Linked DNA regions of Cricetulus griseus. The protein of the gene in region 6 binds, or shares a complex with, the protein of the main gene of each other region. Links are inferred from orthologs where the notes say so. Each region holds a gene or a part of one and is shown on either strand. Other genes may lie near its edges.

What was found.
Region 1: Arid1a (region 6) and Phf10 share a complex: the UniProt entries of both Homo sapiens proteins name them as parts of the neural progenitors-specific chromatin remodeling complex. The link is inferred for Cricetulus griseus from reciprocal best matches to the Homo sapiens genes ARID1A and PHF10.
Region 2: Arid1a (region 6) and Smarcd1 share a complex: the UniProt entries of both Homo sapiens proteins name them as parts of the neuron-specific chromatin remodeling complex. The link is inferred for Cricetulus griseus from reciprocal best matches to the Homo sapiens genes ARID1A and SMARCD1.
Region 3: Arid1a (region 6) and zinc finger protein neuro-d4 share a complex: the UniProt entries of both Homo sapiens proteins name them as parts of the neuron-specific chromatin remodeling complex. The link is inferred for Cricetulus griseus from reciprocal best matches to the Homo sapiens genes ARID1A and DPF1.
Region 4: Arid1a (region 6) and probable global transcription activator SNF2L2 share a complex: the UniProt entries of both Homo sapiens proteins name them as parts of the neuron-specific chromatin remodeling complex. The link is inferred for Cricetulus griseus from reciprocal best matches to the Homo sapiens genes ARID1A and SMARCA2.
Region 5: Arid1a (region 6) and Dpf3 share a complex: the UniProt entries of both Homo sapiens proteins name them as parts of the neuron-specific chromatin remodeling complex. The link is inferred for Cricetulus griseus from reciprocal best matches to the Homo sapiens genes ARID1A and DPF3.

The regions. Positions count from the first base shown.
Region 1 is NC_048595.1:293,991,631-293,995,116, forward strand, and holds the end of Phf10 (PHD finger protein 10), read right to left. Parts: intron 2,240-3,486; coding exon 2,131-2,239; intron 1,860-2,130; coding exon 1,671-1,859; intron 1,409-1,670; exon of another isoform or gene 696-1,408; coding exon 610-695; 3' UTR 501-609; downstream 1-500. UniProt on the Homo sapiens protein: Involved in transcription activity regulation by chromatin remodeling. Belongs to the neural progenitors-specific chromatin remodeling complex (npBAF complex) and is required for the proliferation of neural progenitors.
Region 2 is NC_048595.1:396,140,286-396,144,411, reverse strand, and holds the start of Smarcd1 (SWI/SNF-related matrix-associated actin-dependent regulator of chromatin subfamily D member 1), read right to left. Parts: upstream 2,801-4,126; 5' UTR 2,618-2,800; coding exon 2,441-2,617; intron 2,249-2,440; exon of another isoform or gene 2,229-2,248; intron 1,833-2,228; coding exon 1,645-1,832; intron 1,366-1,644; coding exon 1,323-1,365; intron 1,224-1,322; coding exon 1,101-1,223; intron 655-1,100; coding exon 532-654; intron 1-531. UniProt on the Homo sapiens protein: Involved in transcriptional activation and repression of select genes by chromatin remodeling (alteration of DNA-nucleosome topology).
Region 3 is NC_048602.1:6,521,092-6,525,310, forward strand, and holds the start of zinc finger protein neuro-d4, read right to left. Parts: upstream 2,801-4,219; 5' UTR 2,703-2,800; coding exon 2,590-2,702; intron 2,291-2,589; exon of another isoform or gene 1,430-2,290; intron 1,203-1,429; coding exon 1,042-1,202; intron 941-1,041; coding exon 833-940; intron 1-832. UniProt on the Homo sapiens protein: May have an important role in developing neurons by participating in regulation of cell survival, possibly as a neurospecific transcription factor. Belongs to the neuron-specific chromatin remodeling complex (nBAF complex).
Region 4 is NC_048596.1:34,699,164-34,702,663, forward strand, and holds part of probable global transcription activator SNF2L2, read right to left. Parts: intron 2,422-3,500; coding exon 2,258-2,421; intron 844-2,257; coding exon 777-843; intron 109-776; coding exon 1-108. UniProt on the Homo sapiens protein: ATPase involved in transcriptional activation and repression of select genes by chromatin remodeling (alteration of DNA-nucleosome topology).
Region 5 is NC_048598.1:120,509,408-120,512,907, forward strand, and holds part of Dpf3 (zinc finger protein DPF3), read left to right. Parts: intron 1-870; coding exon 871-952; intron 953-1,470; coding exon 1,471-1,541; 3' UTR 1,542-3,500. UniProt on the Homo sapiens protein: Belongs to the neuron-specific chromatin remodeling complex (nBAF complex).
Region 6 is NC_048595.1:19,582,495-19,585,994, reverse strand, and holds part of Arid1a (AT-rich interactive domain-containing protein 1A), read right to left. Parts: intron 3,324-3,500; coding exon 3,114-3,323; intron 1,050-3,113; coding exon 842-1,049; intron 1-841. UniProt on the Homo sapiens protein: Involved in transcriptional activation and repression of select genes by chromatin remodeling (alteration of DNA-nucleosome topology).

The DNA.
Region 1 (3,486 bases), about 270 Mb from region 6:
GTATAACTCAGATAAAGGCTGGTGACTGTAGAATGTATTCTGTAGACATACTAAATGGAGTACGGCACTTGCAGTTTTAAAGAGGTTCTAAAGCCAGGTCGGAAAAGCTTCCCAGAGCCACTGTGCACAGTAGGGATTGTGGAACCTGATACTCTCCTGGCAGGCAAGCATTTACACATTGTTGCTGTGCCAGCTGGTGACTATTCCAAATCCAGTTGTACCAGATGGTTGGGCCCTCTGTCCTTTCCTCTGTTGGCCAGATTGGAGTGCTCTGGTTATTAAGTAACTGATACTACCTAAGCAGGTCAAGACAGTCTCAAAAGACTGTAACTTTTCAGACTCAAGAAGAAATATTTCAAATTAAGTTGCTACCTCTTTCTGCTGATCTCTGGAAAAAGACAGCACTAAGAGATTAAAATCTGGGAAATGAGACATTTCTCTCTGACTTTTTCTTTCAAGGGTATGAGTTGCTACTAATGAAATAAATCAACTTGAAGATGTTTAAGGTCATAGTTAATTTCAAAAAAGGTTCTTTATTGGCATAAAAATGAAAGTGTAAATAAAATGGCACCAGATATCCCAAACTGAGGGTCAGGTCAAAAACCTATTTTATCCCTCTTTGCTGTTTTTTCCCCTTCTGCCCACTTTCCTGGGTGTTGGGGGAGCTCGCTGACAACAGTCACAAATCCAGCGACCTAGGAGAAAAATTGTTAGTTAATATGGAGTGGAATTTTATTTTTATAGGACTGAGTACAAACCACCTAAACTCATTCCTGAGCTGTCCATAGTGATAACTCTCTGGGATTTTTTTCAGTGGGGAGGGAAGTACTGAGCTCCTTAAGCCAAGGGAGAAAATGTAAACAACCCTTAATCAGTGTAACCAATACAATTCGGAATTCAATGCACAGACAAGATGGGGAAAGGGCACAAAACAATCATTTGTACCTTAAAAAAATATGTAATCCTAAAATTCAAATACCATCATGCTTTTAAAACCTCAACAACACAATCCTAATGTAGAACTTGTTAATGGATCTGGCTTTGTGTGGCCTGTTCCACTGTTCTGACACTAGCACCTGCACCACACACTTGAGCTGAATTACTGCAGAACCTGAGTGATTATTCACATCCTTACGGAGGGATTCCAGGAAACTGAGTTTTATAGAGAACTATACAGTGTTAACTATGCAACTTAAGTCCTTAAAATTGCACAATTACCTGTATAATGTTTCAATAGGATTACTGTGATTTACTATTTGATTCTGTGTCCATCCTAAAGTTTTCTGGAATTGTCATGCTGCCTCACTTTATAGGAAGATGTCTTAGTATATATATAAAGGCATAGCAGTCACTTTGTTAAGTTTCTAAATAGACGAACTTAAAAATAAAATGAAAGCATTGAAACAAACTGGTGGTGTTACTTTAGCAATTTTAGTAGAAAACACCAGCTCATTCTATCCCTCAGACAATACTTCCAAACCTAACCTAAGTATTCTATTTCAATTCTCCTTTGGTTGCACTAAGGATGAAAATCAGGTAGCTGTGACATGGACAGTAACAGCTTGATCATAATTGGAACATGTTCATGTCATTTATACAGCCTTAAAAGAATGCTGGGAGATCTTCATCACACAAGATAATGGGCTTTTTTGTATTTTTTTCATCTTTACCTGATGGAATAGCACCAAGGCCCACACAAAAAGTATGATAACCTCTGTCACACACATCACAGAACATCATTTCTTCTTCATGGTGGGGCTGTCCACATATAATGCATGTCTTACATTCCATACACTGCCATGGGTAGGTCTTAATTATAGAAACAAGCTCCATGGTCATATCCAAGCAAGAAGGGTGGCCTAAATCAAAACCAACATTAATAGGATTTCACAACAGAACTTTCAACTTAAGGCACATAAAACATTAGTTCCCAAGAATGGCTGCCAGGATTAATGTTACCATAGACACATCAAAATACAAAGTAGCAGATACATGGGTTCTGACTACAGCTAACAAGTCACTATTCATTTGCTGACTCTTTGGTGGATACCTAGCTGATAACTACAAACCCTAGCTTTTAAGGCAATATGCAGGGGTGAGGTAAAATCTTAAGGAGACATCTCTACTTACCACTGTTATCACACTGGGAGCAGTGTATAAGTGATTCAGCCTTTCCTTTCTTGTTGGATTCCTTACCCTTCAGACAAATTCCACATAGAGCATTTGGAATGACCTTTGGCTGGAAGGGTAGAAGAGGGCTATAAATTCATGCCAGAAGAACTCACTATGGGTTCAAAAGGGATTCTGTTATTACCTTATCTTTACTTTTGGTAATCTGATAATGAAAACCTTTTTGTAAGACATAACTGGATATGAGATGGATCAGAATATAAAACCCCCAACTAATGAAAGCCTAGACTGTACTCCATAAACCGCATCAACGTGTGTTGCCTAAATGTAGCACTCTGCTCCCTACACACACAGCATCATCTCTATAAAAAAAGACCAGAAGGAAAAATGAAATAGGATGTCAAATGCCACTAATAGTTGGGAAAGAAAATCCATATACCAAATAACCACACATAAAGCTAAGCCTAAGTTTTAAGCTTATATTAAGCTTATGTTCATTTTATTTCAAAAACTGGTGTTTTTCCAGTGATAGAGCTAAGCCTACAAAATCTAAGCTAAAAAAAAAAAAGACACTATTTCAGTATTTTAATTGGAAGCTGTCTTGTCCATACATTGTCATGCATAAATGTCTATAGAAATCTGAGTTGGATGCATAGTCTTGTTCCATGTCTAAAAAGAACTATGATAAAAGAGAGAAGCAGTCACTGTGACGTGTAAAACATAAAAAGTTTTTGGGCATGGAAAAACTATAGTCAAATAGGAAATATACAAAGCATATTTTGAGTATTATCTTTCACATTAAAAACACACACAGTATTTGGGCTTTAAACATGGAATGGGATAAAATATAAGGAGTTTCCTACACTTACAATGCCAGGGCAAGGAAGGGATAACAGAGCATCATAATCTTGACCGTCACGGACGCTGCTCACATGTACTATATATAGGTGTGCGTCAATAAATGGTTAAAAGGTGGGAGGGACAAAGATGGTAGCAGGGCAATAATCTAACACAGTCAAACGCATTGCATCTCTTTCCTGATGCACCATAGAGATCTAAACTCAAACTTTTATAAAGCAGTCTCACTTTAAATGTTCCACTGCCACTTTCGTACCTTGTCAAACCTAAATAATAATTTGCTTTTACTTTTTTAAAAATATTTTCTTTGCAAAAGATGACAGAGGCATTCAAAAACAATTTTTGGCTTATTTATTTTTTTAAAAAAGTCAACCTTATACATAAATATGATAAAAACAATATCTAAACAATCACAAATGTCTCTACAAAATAATAAATATCATGGAGTTAAACAAACATATAAAATGTCCCCATTGACTGCTCTCCATCCTCTGTGTA
Region 2 (4,126 bases), about 380 Mb from region 6:
CCTAAGGAGCTGCTGGGTGGGAAGTGTGGGGGCTCTCACTGATCTGATACTCCCCTTAGAGCAACAAAGAGCCCAAGCCTTTGGAGAATTCTATCATACTTAAACTGTGGTATCTCCAATGAAAGCTGGGAAGACAGAAATAACTTCCAGGACTTAAGAGAGGGAACATGGCCTCAAATGCTAAGCATAGACTCAGGAGGTGGGGATGAGGGACTACAGAAGTAATCTGCAGATGCTGCTAAATCCAAAGGCTAGCATCACCAGGACAGAGTAAACATCCAGTCAGATCCCAGGACAATAATGGTTTCCATTTGATACCAGTGAAGCTGTGGGAGCAGATACAAAGGACCATTGTCTTTGTGTGCAGGGAACACAGGGTCTTTCTCCCTCTCCCCACCCCCCCTCTGCTTCCGGAAGCTCCCAGCAGGACCTATAAGCACCAGTCAGGCTTCCTGCTGACCATACAACATTGATCATCACCAAGAGCTCCCACCCTGAATACAACACCAACACAGTGGACCTTCAACTCACATCCTCCAGGAGCCGTCCTTCTACCCGGAGCTCCCAGGAAGCCACCGTCCCTTCCCCATCCTCTGCATCTGACTTAGCCGGATTGAAAGTGTTAGAAATGAAAATTCGCAGCTTCCGTTTTTGCTGAGGAAGGCAGAAACAGGATTGATGATGGAGCCTCAGTAGTTTGATGTTAAAGACAAAGGTTTTCTAGGCTGGCTTATGATAGGTGAATAAATACTCCACTTAGAAGAATACAGGCCCTGAGCCTGAGCATAAATAAATATGCTGGGATACCAGGTGAAGAAAACCATACAAAGTGGCAGGTTCCCAAGGTAGCAAGTAGTTATAGCAAAAACATGGGCAGGGTATATTTCTGGTGCAAGAGACATCAAAAGCTCCCCCGCCCCTTTCCCTGCCAGCTGCTCTACTCTTATGTTCCTAATGTAATTCCTGGTTTGTAGGCGGAAGGGAAAGATGCAATTTAAATGCCAAGGAGGGCTATGCTGTGCCTTTGAATTTTCATCCTAAGCCTGGAGAAGGTTCCTGTCCCCTCCCTTGACCCACTGCCCAGTGCTTTCCTGTGTTACCTTGATGGGACGTTTCAAAGCCTCCTGGATATCTAGCCGTTTCCTCATAATAGTCTGGTCCAGTTTCCTTTCAAAAGCCAGGAGATCCATATAGGCCTGTGATTCTGGTACCAATTCCCGAATCTTAGGAACAGAAAGATACGATTGGGCCCTAGAGCTGACCACCTGTACTTTCTCAGTCACTACATCTTCAAGAAGAAGACCTCTAGAGCCTGCACTCACCCTTTGAGGTAGGATTTTGTCAGCCATCTTCTTTTTCTTTGCACTGTTCGGAATAAATACTGTTATCAGGGTGGGATGGAACTGTCAGAACATGAGCTAAGCTGTCAGCACCTTTGTTGATGGCACAGCTAAGGCCTGCAAAACGGCTTTCTCATCACCATCAACTCCCTCTCCACCTCCACCAGGAAGCCTTCACAAGGGTGAGTCTCTGCAGCACCATTTGGTGACATAGCACCACCACTTCCTGGTTCAGTACTCCCACCACTTGAATCCTCACAGGTCTCCCAGTAGCTTCTTTCCTTCACCCCAGGCGTCATCTTACTTGTGATTTCGATTTTGGACCGCCTGCTGCTGGACCTGCTGGATCTGTTGAGGCGCAGGTCTCTTGCGGGACTGGTCCATCCCTGACTGGGCCAGGCCAGGTCGGACTGAAGGGTTCCCCCCATAGCCAGGAGGTCCCATGGAAGGTCCCTGAGGTGTCATCCGGCTGCCTGGCAGCATGCCTGGTCTCTACAGAATGGAGAGGGCCCAGAGATGTCATACCTTTCCTTGACAGCTCCACCAAGAAACGAAAAGTGATGGAAGCCTGAATTTTTGGAATGAACAAGGATGGGGGTGGGGGAGGTAGGGTGGAGGACAATCACACAGCCTTCTTTCTGCCTCTTTGAAATACGGTAACTGGACCTTCTTCAGGCCTGGTAGTGGTTTCATAGAATATAGGGTCTAAAAACCAGATCAGACTCAAATTTTCTGGAATATGTGGGATCTGACTCACCAGACATCTCTACATTTACTTTATTACTCAGCTAACTATCTCCTCAACGTGCAGCTCTAACTTGAGTGTTCCTCTGGACACTGAGCTGCCCACCTCCGGGCCCACTTCACCCACCCTGGCTCCACACTCACTCCTCAAAAGCAGACAATGCCGCTGGGAGCAGGTGAGGATGCTAACCTCCTCCCCCAATCGCGCTCTTCCTCGGCATTGCTTCCCCCACCTCCATCCAGGACCCGAGCCCCTCCCAAGGGAGGCCCTCCCACTTCTCCCTCACCCCTGTCAGTTCTCCGCCCTCGCTCGGCCCCGCCCCCGGCCCACGCGCCCCTCCTCCTGCCCCACTCACCGGATAGGCCGCCCCGGGCATCGGGGAGCGGTACAGCCCTTGACCCGGCGCCGGGCCCATTCGCACCGGAGGCCCGGGAGTTCCGCCCGGGCCCAGAGCAGCCGCCACGCCCGCCCCTCCCGAGGCTCCGGCGCCGCCGCTCGGAGCCACAGACTGGAAACCCGCCCGGGCCGCCATCTTCCCGGAGCCGCCGCAGCAGCTGCACAAAGAACCGGAACCGGAACTCCCCCCGCCCCCCGCGCGCCCCCCGAGCGCCTGGGCTGTTTGTGGGCCCGGCCCGCCGGCGGGCACGGGCGGCTCGGGGCAGCGAGACTAAGGCCTAGAGGGGGCAACTAGCGGAAAAGGCGTGCTGACCACTCCCTCCCGCCTTCGCGGCACAGGAGGGGCACCATAGAGAAGTGATGTGCGGATAGAGAGGTGACGGGAGCGGGCGCCCCCAGGCGGGCGGAGGACGACAAGGCGTTGGAAAGAGACGAGCGCACACCGCAGGCTGGAGACACTGTCATCTCAACACAGTGCTTTTGCCTTTCCAAAGCATTCTGTTTGCTTTGCTTTCCATTCTCCTACTGCTCGAACTCCGGGTACGAAAGAGAGAAACGTGCTGTTTATTCGTTTTACAAACGGAAAAGCTGAACTCAAAGGAGGGAAATGTCTTGGCAAAGACAAACCAGCAAATTAAAAGAAAAGCCATCCTAGATTCTGGTCTCCTGGCTGGTAGCCCCGGCTTCATTTCACAGATAATGGCTCAATAACTCTCCGACGCGGGAACTTCACCCTTCATCTCAGACCATTGCCTTCAGATATTAATGAATTTTGGCCATGAATCCTCTCCGAAGGTCCTGGAAATCTGTTGCTGTTCATTGCTCTTTCACTGCCCAGTGATTCAAACTATTCCTGAACCTGTCCTTTTCCAGGAGGACCAGTGTTTACCTGATCAAATATGTAGGGTCTCATGTAGCCCAGCCTAGTAGTACACTCGCTCTGTAATGAAAGATACCTGCTTCCATCTCCTAAGTGCTGGAATTACAGGTGTAGCCACCACACTGGACTACCCAAATTCCTTACTCTAGTCAACATGGCCCTCAAGGCAGGCTGCATTCTAATGGTAATCCTTATAAACTCTTCAACCAAAAAGAACAACACTGAGGAGGAGATGGTTGAAACCCAGTTTATTAGACCAGAGGCATGCGTCACTCAGAGCCCCGCCTGCTGTCCCCCAGCCAGTGGATACTTCTCAGCTTTGTGCCTGTTTCCTTCTGGGGAGTCTGCTGTCTACAGAACTCTAGAGAACCAAGAGTTCTCAGAGATGCTATAGCCCCACTCTCTGGCTCCAGGCCAACGCACACAGGTGGTCTGTCCACAAGTCCTTTTTGGGGATTAGAGGCCAAGAGACAGACAGTGCAGTCAGAGAAGTCCTGCAAAGGGTTGGAGCTCTGGCCTGGGAAGAATGCCTGGTAGGGGTGGGGAGGCCCTCTTCTTCAACTTGTGGTCCCTTAAGGTAGGGACACACAACAGCAGAGCCCTCAACTTCTCCTCTAGGCCTGTCTCTTTCCTCACATGACCAAACCCTGCCTCACCAAAAAATACAAGTGGTGGGCCTGGCTATCAAAGTGAGGGAGGGGCACTGGGCACCCAGAGGAGAGAAAGGCCACCGAATGAGGACTTCCGCTTCTGTCTGTGGGTACC
Region 3 (4,219 bases), on a different chromosome or scaffold from region 6:
GAAAGCACTAACTCCAGTCAGTCTATGAACTAGCACACACCTCAAGAAGCACCTAACACAGAAACAAGCCGAAAATCTCCATAGCAATTTCTCAGCATCAGGACCCCAGCAGGACATTCTGGTGGAACCATATATACCCCCAGAAGAGGTAGATATACACAGTCCCAGCACACACACACACACACACACACACACACACACACACACACACTTGGAAACACCTAGAAAGAAACAGGCATTCTAAAACACTCAGCAACAGTTACAATGAGACACTCAACTCAGTGGTTCTCAACTTTCCCAACGCTGTGACCCTTTAATACAGTTCCTCATGTTGTAATGACCCCCCAACCACAAAATTATTTCGTGGCTACTTCATAACTTTAATTTTGCTACCCTTATGAATCGTAATGTAAATGCCTGGTATACAGGATACCGGATACGCAACCCCAAAACACAGGTTGAGAAACACTACTAAGTCATCCAAACACACAGGGAGATAGCCAGATGCCCTCCAGCACCCACAGAAAGAAACACAGCGGGACATGGGCGTACCCCGGCTCACAGGGGAGCGCACACAGTTATCTATCTAGACACAGATAAAAGGATGTCCTCCGTACACCTGCTCGCCACGGCCCACACAGCAGGTACATCTGGAAGCTCAGAAACTCAAAGGAAGTAACTCAAGACACGGGGAGGGGGGGGACGACGACGACACAGATAGCCTGTTGTGGAGACACCCAGGGGAAATAAAGGCTACATTCTGGCTGACAGCAGTGGGGCTGAGGACTTCGATGGGGGCCACAGCGGGCGCAGGGGCCACAGCTCCACCCACCGATCTTGTACTCGCAGGGCCGCAGCCTGGGGTCCTCCAGGATGTTGAGTCTCCGTTTCTTCCTCCAACAGCGGGCGGGGTAAGTGTAGATCTGTCCTGGGGCCAGACCTGGAGGAGAGGGAGGGATGGAGGGAGAGGGAGGGAGGGCGGCAGTGAGCGTGCGGCCCCGGGACGCAGGCCCCGCCCCGCCCCAGCCTCGCGGCGGGTACCAGGCCCGCGGTGGGTCTTCTCCATCCAGATGTAGCAGTTGTTCTGGGCCACGCCGGTCTGCGAGTCGAGAAAGGGCAGGCGCAGGCTGCGCTCGGCGCACAGGCGCGCGTTGTAGCTGCGGCAGTGCTCGATGGCCTCCCGGTAGAAGTCCTCGCCGAGGCTGAGGGGGGCGGGCGAGCAGCGGGCGAGCGGCTGTCAGCCAGGGAGGTCCAGCACCCTCCACCACCACCCCCCCCCCCACGCCCCGGGCCTCCCGTTCCCGCCGCCGCCGGTCCGCAAAGGGCGAACCAGCCAGGGCCCCCTCCCCCTCCTCCTCCTCCCATCCCTGGGGACCCGGGGGCGGGGCGGGGTGCTGGCTGGCTGGCTGGCTGGCTGGGAGGCCGCTACCTGGAACTTGATTATGTCTCAGGTTAAGTAAGAAGTGTGTTCACAGAGCGAAACGCAGCAGCAGCAGCAGCAGCAGCAGCGGGACCCATGCACACACGAACGTAGCCAAACACCCAAAACAAACAAATCGCACATGGCCACACGGGATTCACACACAAAGGGAAACATATCCCAAAATTCACAAAGGAGAAGCAAACACATTCACACACACACAGACACACAGACACACAGACTGGGGTCAGAAACAGGCCATAAAACTACCTCTGCACGCCACGCATCCAGAGACCCCCAAGATAAACACATTGTCCACAAAGCCCCCCGGCGTGGCAACGTACTACGCGCAAACGTCGCAACAGTCGCACGGTGTCCAAAGCGGCTTGCCCACACACCTCTCTCCAAAGACACGGGGTGTCAAACACACGATACAAAGAGACCACGCAGTCACACGCGCGCACGCTCACACCCGGGGGGAAACGCGACCCCAAACTCGAAGCGCATTCCCAAGCACAGGTACACGCCTCGGAGACGGAGGGACAGCCAGGTCCGCCCGTGCTCGCACCCAGCCTCACACCTCCCCGTGCAAAGACGCAGCCTCGAGGGTGCAGCCTCAGCAGACGCGCGCGCACACACTCGGAGGGGACCCGAATGCCCAGATGGGCACCGTGCAGAATAAAAGAGACAACCATACGCACATACCCACACATCCGGCCAGAAAACAAAACAAAAAAGCAACGCACAAGTCGCACAACACACTCCACGCCCCAAGACAAAGGTAGCGTGGGCTCGACTCGCGTGTACTCAGGTTCCCTACGCCGCTTCCCCCTCTTGCAGACCGTGGCATCCCCGGGAGGGGACATGACCCCCGTCCCCTGGAAGCCCTGGGGGACCCCTCCCCCACGCCCTGCACCCGCCCCGGACATCACCCTTGCCAGACACCCGCAGTCACACACGCTCGCACCCCCGCTCGCTCGCTCGCACACGGTGACAGCCCCCTGACACCCCACCGGCCCCACCCCCAGCGGCCACACACACACACACACACACACACACACACACACACACACACACACACACAGAGACACGCACACGCGCGCGCGCGCGGCCGCGCAGACCCGCCCCCGCCTCCCACTCGCCCCGCTCGCCCGCTCGCCCGCCCGCACCACCTCAGGGGGCCGGGGATGACCGTGGCCATCTTGCTCCCCGGGTCCTGCCCCCAGCAGGTCCCTGCCGGGTCGGTCCTCCCAGCGGTCGGGCGGGCGCTGAGGCCGCCCATCCATTCATTCCCGGGGGGCGGGAGCACGCGGATCTCAGCCAATCAGGACGGCGGGGCGGGGCGCCCGGGCCATGCCGGGAGTGGTAGTCCCCCCGCGGGTCCTCTAACCCGGGGCACCGGGGGATGGAGGATCACGCAGTCCCCGGTCCCACGTGCACAGACGCATGCACGCACACACGCGCACGTGGCCGCTTACACACAGCCACGCTCGGCTCGCAGGCTCTCACACACCCCACCTTCACTCACGCCCCGCCACAGGCGCCCAGACCTCGCCAGTGCCCACCCAGCCGTGTCACCAGCATGCCGGAGTTGACGCCACCTCTCCCACCATGCCCTCCAAACTCTGGAGCACCCATCGTGTCCCAGGGCTGACTGTCGCGGTCGGTCACCCGGGTCCACTCCTCCGCAGGACTACAGGACTGTCGTCATCCTTCCCGGGCTCAGATCCTCGCTGATAGGACCTCGGGCACATGACTTAACCTTTCTGGGCCTGTCTCCTCCTTTAGAAAATAGTTATAACACCTCATCGGACTGAAGAGTAGATGAGTGACAGGGTAAGTGGCTGCTTTCGTGACAGAATCCTACTGTCCAGCTCAAGCTGGCCTCAAACTATAGTTCTCCTGCCTCTGCCTCCCTGAGGTGTGTGAAACCACACCAGTCGCTGTAAAGTGTTTTCAAAGATACATAGCAGGGCTTGGGGGTGGTTCTGGTAAAAGAAAGTGATCGAGAGCCCATGGGTTCAATCGCAGTCCCACATGAAGAAATAGTACCTGGCAAGTACTAATAAATCCATTTATTCCACAGAGAAGACATCTACAAAGAGGATCTGACACGTACCAAGGCATAAAGTGGTTACGCCGCTCTAGAAAGAATAATGCCTGCCCGCCCTAGTAGGTGTCCAACAAATATACGTTGAGTGGTTACTTAACATTTGCTTAACACAGCTCTCCCCAGACTAAACTATTACTGTCCTTATTTTCCAGACGAGGACTTTGAGATCTGGAGGAGAAACCTTACCTGTTCTCTGCCCCTGACTGCTGTCTGAAGGTAGCACTGAAAGACGAAAGATTCATTCACCTGGTCCCTTCCACTCTTCTCCCTCGGCATCCACACACCCTATCCTCCTAACAGAACCCCAGCGAAGAGCTGACCTACCGAGTCTCTCTCTCTCCCTCTCTCTCTCTCTCTCTCTCTCTCTCTCTCTCTCTCTCTCTCTCTCTCTCTCTCACACACACACACACACACACACACACACACACACCCTCTGGGGAATAACTTAGCACTCTGATTTGAGTGGCTGCATAAATTAGCATATCAAGTGTTAATACAAATACCCCGTTGTCCAGCAGGGGGTGTTCCACCCACCGGGCTAAGACTCAAGATTTCCTGAACTACACACACCCCCAATCTTAACTCCCTGCCACAAATGTCCCCAAGTCATTCAAGACCTTGACCCACCCCTTCCCCAGCGTAGGTAGGGCATCTGATTCACTTCCTGCCCGGAATTAAAAGAGGGA
Region 4 (3,500 bases), on a different chromosome or scaffold from region 6:
TGCAAGAATGTGCTTGTCTTTTATAATGTATTCATAAGTAGTCAGGAGGACATTGAATTTGCCACTCCGTAGCTGGGGAACAAGGGAGCGTCGCATGGCAGGGGTACCCTGAATGGAAAGAAAAATACATTGATTACCCACTGGAAGTACATAGGTGCTATTTCTCACTGTTCAGAGCTTAATGGAACCTAGACAGGTGACATGCACATAAATGTATTACCATATACTGCTCTATTATCCCTGAAGAAAGTGGTAGCTAAACCACACATATCTTGACCCTTTCCAGATCCTTTCAGGAAGGCTTCCCACTTAAGGCCGAAAAAGGAGAAGAGAGAAGGAAATTGCAGCAAGCTTGCAGTAGCAGGGAACCCGTTGCTTGGCTGAAAAGCTCCCTTTCTGTGGGAGCGTGCAGCAGGCAGCCCCAGCGCCCCAGTAATTGCCTGACTTTGCAGGAACATTCGGCACAGTAGCAGCCCACAGTGAGGCAGTCAGTAGCACACAGAAAGTGCGGTATTTGTCATTTGTATTACTCTCATCAGAAACCTCGCAATATGATAATTAACAATTTTCTTCTGCATTTCACTATCTGAAAGTAATTATGGTTTATTACAGTAATCTTCTTGGGATGATTAACTCTCACTGTTTAGTACATGATGTACATGACAAAACTTTACAACCAAATACAGTTCACAGATGTGCATATAGAATGAAGAAAAGAGGGCCCAATTTTTTTTTTTGCTTTTCCACATTTATATATAAATATTAAAGCTCCAAACCTTGTAAGAAATTTTCACCACAGAAGGAGCCCATTTGTCAAATTCATATGTCCAGTTAGACAGAGTCCTACAAAACAACAACAAAAAACACAGTAAACACACACATACCCATGTATATAAATTCAGTTAATAGAAAACTGTTACTTATTTTTAGCCCTTGCCTTAAACTGGGCTAAAAAATACAAAATACCCCAGATACATATTTATGCTAAAGGTATGGAGATAGGAGGTAAGCTGGAAATGAAGTGCCACAAAATGTGTTAATTCTACATTTCAAAACTCATAAAAAAACAATTCAAAACTGGACAACTATGTGTGGTACAAAACACCAGAGTTTTCCTGTGCTTCTGAAAACCAACAATCACTGATGCTTTGGGTTTGTCACAACTAGCCACGTAAGCTCCAAGAACTTCATATGGGGAAGAGAAATTACAAAACCATAAGAAACAGTAAGTAGGTCTATCAAAAAGAAGCAAGAGATACTGAATGATTTTTTTTAAACCCCAAAAGTGTAACCAAAATATCCAAGTCAGACCATGCAAATATAGGTCTAATGCAAAGGGCATGTAAATATTATGGAGGCAGATAAGTCAGAGCCTTCTTTTGAAAAAAAAAAAAATGGAAGGAAATACAAAATCAACAGCCTTGTTCTTCCTGAAGGTCTGAGTTGTCTCAGGACTGCAATCCATGACAAGATCTCAGTGAGTAAAGTGTCACCCTGACACGCATGCATAGAAGCACTTCACTCCCAGGGAGGGTGGCTCAAAGATTGTTGGGTAAAGACCAGCCGGAGCCACCAGTGGGCGAGGACTTGGGGCTGTGCTAGAAACAGCAAAGACTGTCCTTCTGGAGCAACGAGCCATTGAAACGCCATGTGTACATACAAAGTTTACTTTGATGCAGAGATCACAGCAATGATTTTAAAGATACAATAAGGAAGGTGTACAAGTGTAAGTACATCAAGGAAAATAGCTCTAAAAATGCTCTCACTTTTCCCTTCAAAAAGCTACTTACTCGGACCCATTCTACATCAGCCGTTCTCAACCTCTGGGTCATGAGCCCTTTGGGCAATGGGGTCACATAATCAGATATCCAGCATATCACCACCATTCCTAATAGCAAAATTACAGTTCCAAAGTAGCAATGAAATAACTTTATGGTGTGGGGGGGTCACCACAGCATGAGGGTCTAAAGGGTATTAAAGGGTCTTAGCACGAGGAAGGTTGAGATTGCTCTACAGGGTGTAAAATGTTAATGGCCAATAAGAATGACTACATAGACGTACTTTACTAGCCAGCCAAAAGGCTGCAGTGGGATGGGTGGGCTTGGGTGGAAAATTAAAACCAATATTCAGATTATGTATTCCTGGTATTCCAAAACGATACTACTTTTCTATCTGAAATGGGAAACAAGGGCGAGCCACTGATAGGGCAATCTCCAACATAGAGAGTGATGACTGTGGAATAAATTACTGTACTTACGAGAGGGGAACAATGATGAGATAGGGGCCATTGAGTCTTTTGTGCTCCATCAGATATGTGATGAGTGCAATGGTCTGGATGGTCTTGCCTAGCCCCATTTCATCAGCTAAGATTCCATTCAAATTGTTATTATACAGGGAAACCATCCATTCCAGGCCCTGGAGCTGAAATGAAGAGTAATTGTTTCAATTATCCAAGATCTGCACAGGTAATTAATACTAATACAACTCAAGTGAGGCTGTGACTTCTTAACTTCTCCATGCTGTATGCTGAGTTTCCCACAGTAGCAAAGTGGGGGAGGCACCAACGCAAAAGGAATTTAAAAGATGAGCCTGTAATCGCCCCTGCTGCTTGGCAGGTGCTCGGTGTTAATCAGATTTAGAAAGGATGGGCTATAGCGCACTGGTGGGATTTGAAGCAGCTTTGTTGCTCATCCATACTTAACATTTCACAGTAGATGACATTCTAGAATTATTATAAATGAAGAAAACCCAAACCAAAATCTATTCCAACCACTCCAAGAACAAAAAAACCAATTCGAGGATTAAAGACAAACCAGAAGGCTGAGCTGGCACACAGACCACTGATCATCAGAAACCTCTTTCTGGATCATGAACAGCCTGCCCCAGGGTGCCATCCCTGATGCAGGAAGCCTGTGACCAGGGAGCCAAGGCCACTCGGCTGGCCTCCAGAAGGACATTTCTCTTCCTGGCAAAGAAAGGCCCCAGGCAGCACACAGAAACTCTGCACTGTGGGCACTTTGAGAAGGCAGCTCCCTGGAAGCTGGCTGCCTGGAAGATGGACAATGCATTTTCTAAGCATGGAAGCAGTGCACCCAAGTCCCAGCTTTAGATTCTCATTTAAGCACAAAAGAAGAATGAGGTGAGAACATGGATTATCACTATCATAATGCAATGCTGGGTTTAAATGACAGCATCAATCATATGTAACATAAGTATACATATGTGTATACACACACACATACACACGGTACAGTCAAGTTAACTTGCTAATTAAGTTATGCTGAGAAAACATTATGACCTTGCACTTAAAATGTTTAAACAACTCTTCTTCACACAGGATCATACAAGGAACTACAGCAGATGGATGCCAAGGTAGACTCACAGTCCCTTCAGAAGCTTGTGTCAGGGAGGAAGCAGTGAACACTCTCTGGATCAAGTAGCCCAATGTGATGGAGGGGCATACACTTGTACTGATGACAGTTTTCCTGAGGGAAGCACCA
Region 5 (3,500 bases), on a different chromosome or scaffold from region 6:
TCATTTCATGGATAGCCCTCGATGAACACCTTTTCAGAGGCATCTGCTGTCATATACCCTGGACTTCCTTTCCCAGGACCTCCACTTGCCATCTAACCACCAATGACTTTCAAATCCATATCTTGGACCCAGACCTCTGTCCTGATCTCCAGCCTCCAGGACATCCATCCCTGGTGACCCTGGATCTATAGTTGAGGCTGTCCTCTCTCTTTTCTACCCTCATGGCCACTTTTCTGACCATGTCTCAGTGGCTAACTATGCCATAGCCCAGGCAATGGCACCAGTCAGTGACTATTTCCTCATCGCACTGCCACAGCCTTACTCCAAGCCTTCACCAGTGTGACTGTCTTCTATTTCGAGAACCAACCACTCTCTTGCTCCAGTCTCCAGCTAGGGAAGAGGCTTTTCTTAGCATCTACATTAAATCCTGAAGGAGTTTGAAGATGCAATGGATGTTACCACCCAGTACAGCTGTTGCCCATTGCACAGATGGAAGAGTGGAAATTCAATACATGTATTAGGTCATTGCCATGGGGTGGAGGGTCAGAGAAATCCGTAAGATCACTGGCCATGAGAGACCAGGACAAGGAATTTCTGTGAACTTGAATGTAAGGTAGCTATCAGGGAAGACTTCTAAAATAGTGAGTTAAGAAGAGCCCCGAGGTGGTGAAGGATTTATATGGTTGGGAGAAAGAGGGTGATTTTCAGGTGTTAATAAAATATAAGCCGCATTTAAGGGACAGCGAGGACTCCAAATGGGGCCTAGAAAGTTATCTATGGAAATAAGAGTAGAGGAATAAGTGGGGGGAAGACACTGTCCTGGAGTAATTGTATCTCTCTTCCCCACTTTACCCCTTTTGTATCTGCCAGGACCAGCTACTCTTCTGCGATGACTGTGACCGTGGTTATCACATGTACTGTTTAAATCCCCCAGTGGCTGAACCCCCGGAAGGTAATGACGATGAACTCAACAATAACAACAACAACTACCACGCCTACCCCTTATTGGTCTCTTACTATGGTGCAGGCCTTGTGCTAAGGGGGTTTTCATGTTTTGCCTCATTTCATTATCACAGTCCTATGAGGTTAGGTAGAGCTACTCACAGAGGACCAATGACGAGACTGAGGCATAGCGCAACCAGATGACATTCTAACCAACGGTTCAAGGAGATATTTCTCAGATGTGTGGCTGCAATAGCGGGGAGGTGTGAGTTTCCAAGGGAACTGGCACAGGTGTACCAAGGCTGGCTAAGAGGTGTGACAAAGCGGTGGGACTCTTTATATAGTTCCTCTGTTACCTCTGAGCACCCACTTTACACTGAGCAATGGACTTCACAAACCTTCAGGGCTGAGACTTGGTCTCTGATTTGTGGAAATCAAAGGCAAATAGGAGTCACCAGACATTAATGCCTTTAGGCTGGGGCCCAACAGTTAGAAAGGCTGCTACTAATGCTATATTGTCTCTTATAGGAAGCTGGAGCTGCCATTTATGCTGGGAGCTACTCAAAGAGAAAGCCTCAGCCTTTGGCTGTCAGGCCTAGGGCCTCAGGTCACTGAGTGTGACCAGCCACCAGAGAGGCTGAACTGGAGCCCTGTTGGATCCAGATGGAGTTCTCCTCCTGCATATCCACACAGACCAACTGTAAGGAAAATGAATAGTTATGGAAGGACATGAACTCGTGGAACCAAGGGGGCAAAGTCTCTACTCACCTACTGCCTATGACCGCCAGCCCCACACGTGGTACTTCAGCCTGTCCTTCCTCTTTCTACCAGAAGGAGCTTGTGCTTCTGAAGAACAATCCAGCCCCAGCCCTGTGTAAACTTCCTCACATTCGCCCTCACAGTACATGCCTCTCCTTGCTTCCTATTTTAGAGGAAGCCATTTTTTGACTGCTCACCAATCTCTTGTGTGTTATTTGGTGGTGTTGTTTTTTAATCTATTGTGTTTCAAGATCCCTTCACAGTCTCTTCACCTTTAGCTTAGGCTCTTCATCCTAAACTCTCACAGAGGAACAAGACGCTGTGGAGAAGTTGTTATTTTGCTACAAATTTCACCGGAAATGGCTACATTTGGAGGCCATCTTGAAGACGGAAGGTGGAAACCTCTTGGTTAAAGAGATTTGTAGTTTTTGAACCTGAGCAGTGGTATGAATAGCTGGCATGGTCTCCATCCACTGCACCACCACCTGAGGAGGGGTTGAGAGGGCCCGAGAGATGGGAGGGGAAGCTGGGAACCCAGCATAACCAGCCAGTATTTGCTGTTCATCAAGAGAGACTTTGCAAGGGACTCGGTGGTTCCTTGACCTTCAGACCTGTGGTGTCCTTGAGGTGAGACAAACCACAGCCTACAAACACAGAAAAGTGATGAAGATTCCCAGTGCCTCCCAAATGAATTGAGTGTCAAGGCCTGGCTCAATTTCTGCTGATGGGTCTCAAGCATCAGAGAGGTGGGCAAAGGCTGCCCATTCAATGGTCCAATGTTGGATAAAAGAGAGTGTTGGTTTGAGAAACACTTCAGTGTTAATGCTAACTATGAATTCCTTTCCCGGGCAATTTCCTCCTTCCATGTTTGCCAGTGACTACTGAGATGTGACTGGAAGTTTTAGAATGGAGGAGAGATGATCATTACTTAACTAGATCATTGAGCATGGTGATTACTTGTGACCAGGTGGCAATGATTCAGAACCCTCACCTGCTCTTGTACCTTAATCCTCCCCCCATATGAGCTGGACTCCTGTTTGAAATAAGAAAGTTTCCAGAGAAAGAGGTAGGGAGGCCTAGATTCCGAGAACTCTGTGAATCGGACGACAGCATTGTGGGCTGGAGTGGGTTGGGCTGTCTTTGAATCACAGCATGACAACTGACACATTTCTGGAAAAATCATTTGCCCAAAGGGCAGGTCTCAGTGAGCAGGACCCTCGCGCATGCTCGGCTTCCCTGAAATCAGCTCCATCGCTGTGGTCCAGCAGCTTGCAACAAAGGCCTGGGTTATTTTTAGTCTTCAGCTCCTGAAGAAGCCCCTGGAGACCTGGGCTAGTTGGGCCACTCTGCCCAGATGCAGCAGTGCCTCTACCCACACCACAGGAGTCATCCTCCCCCGGCTAATTGCTCTTGGCATGTGGACCCAGGGCAGCCTGGCATGGAGCCAAGCGGTGTGCACCCTAACCCCCACTCCTTTGCAGAGTGACCTGTGGCAAGAGAGTGGGGGTCATTCTCCTGCAGGCCTTGTGGCCTCAGAGCTAGTTAGATGCATACATAATGATCTCATTTAAAGGGCCCCTGTCCAGACAGTGTTTTTGCCTTCCTCACAAGCTCTCTCCTTCCTTCTGTTGGTTGCTGAGCCTGTGTGGATTCTAAAGGCCCAGGGAAGGGCAACTCCACAGAGAGGTACATTCCCTCTTCAGAATCTGCTGGCTTGCTCTTTCTTCCAACAACACCTTAAGCAGAATATCCTCAAAGACTAATTACTTGGTTGGGGATTCGTTTTAAATTAATTTTAG
Region 6 (3,500 bases):
CTTCCTCACTGCCTTGCTTTTCTTTCCAAGGAACTTGTCTAATGGTAAGCACCACGATGATGGTGGAGCAAAAACTGAAATCTAGGATGCAGAGGAGCCACATGGCCAGAGCCTAGATGTTTTTTTTCTCTATTAAGCACCCAGTCCAATGTCATCCTTAGGTTCCAATGTTCCTCTAAAGAGACAAGCACAGAATATCCAATAATTAATGTTTTCATTAGTTAGTTTCCCACTACTGAGGCCTCTCCAGCTGATGAGTCATCTCAGGAATACACTCCTCTCTCAGAGGTCAACAATGTGTTTACATCTACCTTCTGGGGTCCATGCTAACCTAGGCCCCACCTCCTCTGAGAAAGGAGGTTAGGCAGAAGAAGCATAACCTCATCATAAAGTCCATTCATATCCCCTTCCTACCCCTCCCTTCCATTCATTACTGTCTCAGCTCTCTGGGGAATTTAGGGCTCTTTTTCTGAGCTGCATTCTAAGGCACTGACATCAGCAGGCCAAAGCTCCCAGATGGCCCAGCCACACTGCGATTTGTCAGTTTTCCCTCACTACTCTGGTGTCCCTCCCACTCACTAGTTTACAAACATTTGGCAAGATGCCAGGTGTACAACAGGAAAATTAGAAAGTGAAAACTTAAGGCTTCTGCATAGCACCTCCCAAGGGAGTCGCCACTGCTGCTCTTTAGTCTGCCAACCTGCTAACCCACGTGGATGGGTAAAACACACATCTCTGGCAACTGCTCTGCTCCCTGGAGGGAGGGAGGGAGGCACCACTGCTTAAGGAACCCTGCAGGCTCTTAAGGATACCATCCTTGGGGGTGCTTGTCCACTCTTACCAGGAGAGGGAGGCTGGATCTTGGGCTGGGACTTCTTGGAATCAGCAGCTGCAAAAATGTCTGGGGGAGGGTCTTCTCCCCGTTCGATCTTGCACTCAAAGGCGTAGAGACACTGGATGTATTGCTTCTTCAGGGAGCTGGCTGCACTGCTTGATGTACCCACATTGAGGTTGGTTGCAAGTTCCCGCCATTTCTTGTTCTTGTTGACCTGTAAGACCACCAGAAGAGTCAAAGTATACTCTGACCTGGCCTTCCAACGCACAAGCTATGAGCCCAAGCTGGTTGCTGCAAGAAACATATAGTTCCAAGTAACTGCAGGTACACTGCTTATTCAAAAGGCAATCAGGGACATTGGTGGCGCATGCCTTTAATACTAAAACTCGGGAGGTAGAGGCAGGCAGATCTCTGTGAGTTTGAGGACAATATGGTCTGCAGAGTTCCAGAGCAACCTCCAAAGCAATACAGAGAAACCCTGTCTCAAACAACAAAACAAAAAATATAAAAAACCAACAAAAGAACAGGGCATCAATACCGGAACAGAATTCAGCATATGGTCTTTATCTCCAACCCTCACCCCCTCATTGACTCTGTCAGGCTAAGGTTTTTACATGGCTGCCTTCCTTCAGTGTAAGGGTGACAACTAAAGTCGGTTGGTTCACAGTTCTGCCCCTATCTCCAGCCCCAGCGTACATTGACCAAATCCATTTCCCAAGTGTTCCTTCTAATTTGACCTGTGCTGCCTGGACAGGTTTCCACTGATTATTCTTAAACATGATGGCAAACTTAATCTATCTAGTGCTAAGAACACTGATATTGAAGTCCGATCCAAAGAAAGACCATTGGGTTATGATATCAATGCTAGCTGTTTAGGGAAACAGAGAGGAGACTGAAGGGAGGTAACCAACAATAATCCTTCCTGAGGTGGTTATGGTGAGTGTAACAGACATCTAGGCTGTCTGGTGTAATTCTGCACATCCACCCTCACCCACCCACGTCACCTGGTTGAGTCTACTGGGATGGCCCCCTTCACTGATCAGTCAGAAGAGCTCAGGGCTCAGTCTTGCCTTTCTCAGCTCTTCACTTAAAGACAGTTCTCATTGATTTTAGAATACAATTAGTTAATTACTTAACAGCAACTAAAAAATTCCCCTTTCAGCCAGTTGGTGGTGGTGCATGGCTTTAATCCCAGCAACTTGAGAGAGGCAGAAGCAGGCAGATCTCTCTGAGTTAAAGGCCAGCCTGGTCTACAGAGTGAATTTCAGGACAGGCTTCAAACAAAGCTACAGGGAAACCCTGAAACTGTCTTGAAAAAACAAAACAAATTTTCTTTTCAAATTGGAATACAAGCTTAGGATCAGAGATTCCTTCTACAGCTTGTCCTGTGTTCAGTGAGTTCGGGGGTCCAATAGTCAGAAGAAAGGCAAAGTTACTAAGTAAGCAACCAACCCTCCTTACCATAAGCAGCACACTAGGCCTAAGAGTTAGGAGGAGGAATGCATCCTGTATCACCTCAGCAGCCCCAAGCAGGTTTGCTCCCCACTTCAGTTATATGGCAGTTTGCATATGCCTTTGGGGAGGGTGTGGGGGAGGTGACCGAAGCCTTAAGGGAGAAGGAATTCATAACTGACTGTTAGCCGGCTTCTTTCCCCCTAGTGACACCTGTGTTCCTTTTCTGATTTAGGTATGGAATACACCTCTCCCTTTCACAGGCTCTCCCATCCCCACCCAGGAATTTCTGGTCTGGACAATAGAGACAACTCCTCTGAAGAAAAGTATGTAAGGGTACACTATCAGTCAGTGAGTGTAGCCTCACCAGTGTCTCTAGCCGAATGCAAATAAACCTGCAAGTACACAACACGACTGAACCATTCTCAAGTCTTTTTATACTTTTGTCTCATATATAAAAGTATACTTTTATACTCATATTTTATACTTATATGTCTAGTATAAAATAATTAGACATATAAGTTTTCACAGCTCTACTTCCTCAATAACTACTCTGAAATTCTACCTCCCCCAAGACGTTTCTTGAATTCAAAGGGTGAATGAATCTGCCTGGAGTGCCAACTTACAGACCAAGTAATTTGGTGGGGCCCTTGCTGAAGCTTTCCACTCATTATTTCTAACACTTGGCAGGGCGGAAGGTTCCATGTGGTGCCTGTTTTACCATCAAGAGAATTAAAGCTCATATGGTTTGTAGAACTTGGTTAGGCTCACATGTTTCAGCCTGTGGGATGCATGATCCCATCAGAAGCCAGTGGACAGTGCTTACCTGAGTCAGTCCACCAATCTCCTTCACAGACACATAGAGGCGATAGAGGTCCAGAGGCTTCCTGCCCACAGCGGGCAGGTTCGTCATACCCATGGCCTTCTCCTCTGTGAAGGCCAGGTATCGGTCCACCCACATCTTCCTCTCTGGCTCGCCACCCAGCTCATACAACTTGGTGATCTTCTCATTGGTTGTAGTAGAAGAGCTGGATTTCTGAGGAAAGGGTCAAAAATTAAAGTCATCAAAGCCAAACACAATGCATATGAAGGGTGCCAGAGACCCCTTCTTCTCTGTCCCCTCCCTTTAAGAGAGCAAGTCTTCTAAGAGCCCAGAGCTGGTGGTGGAATGTTCCTGCTTTGGTCTCTTAGATGCTGGGATTATATCCCAGAA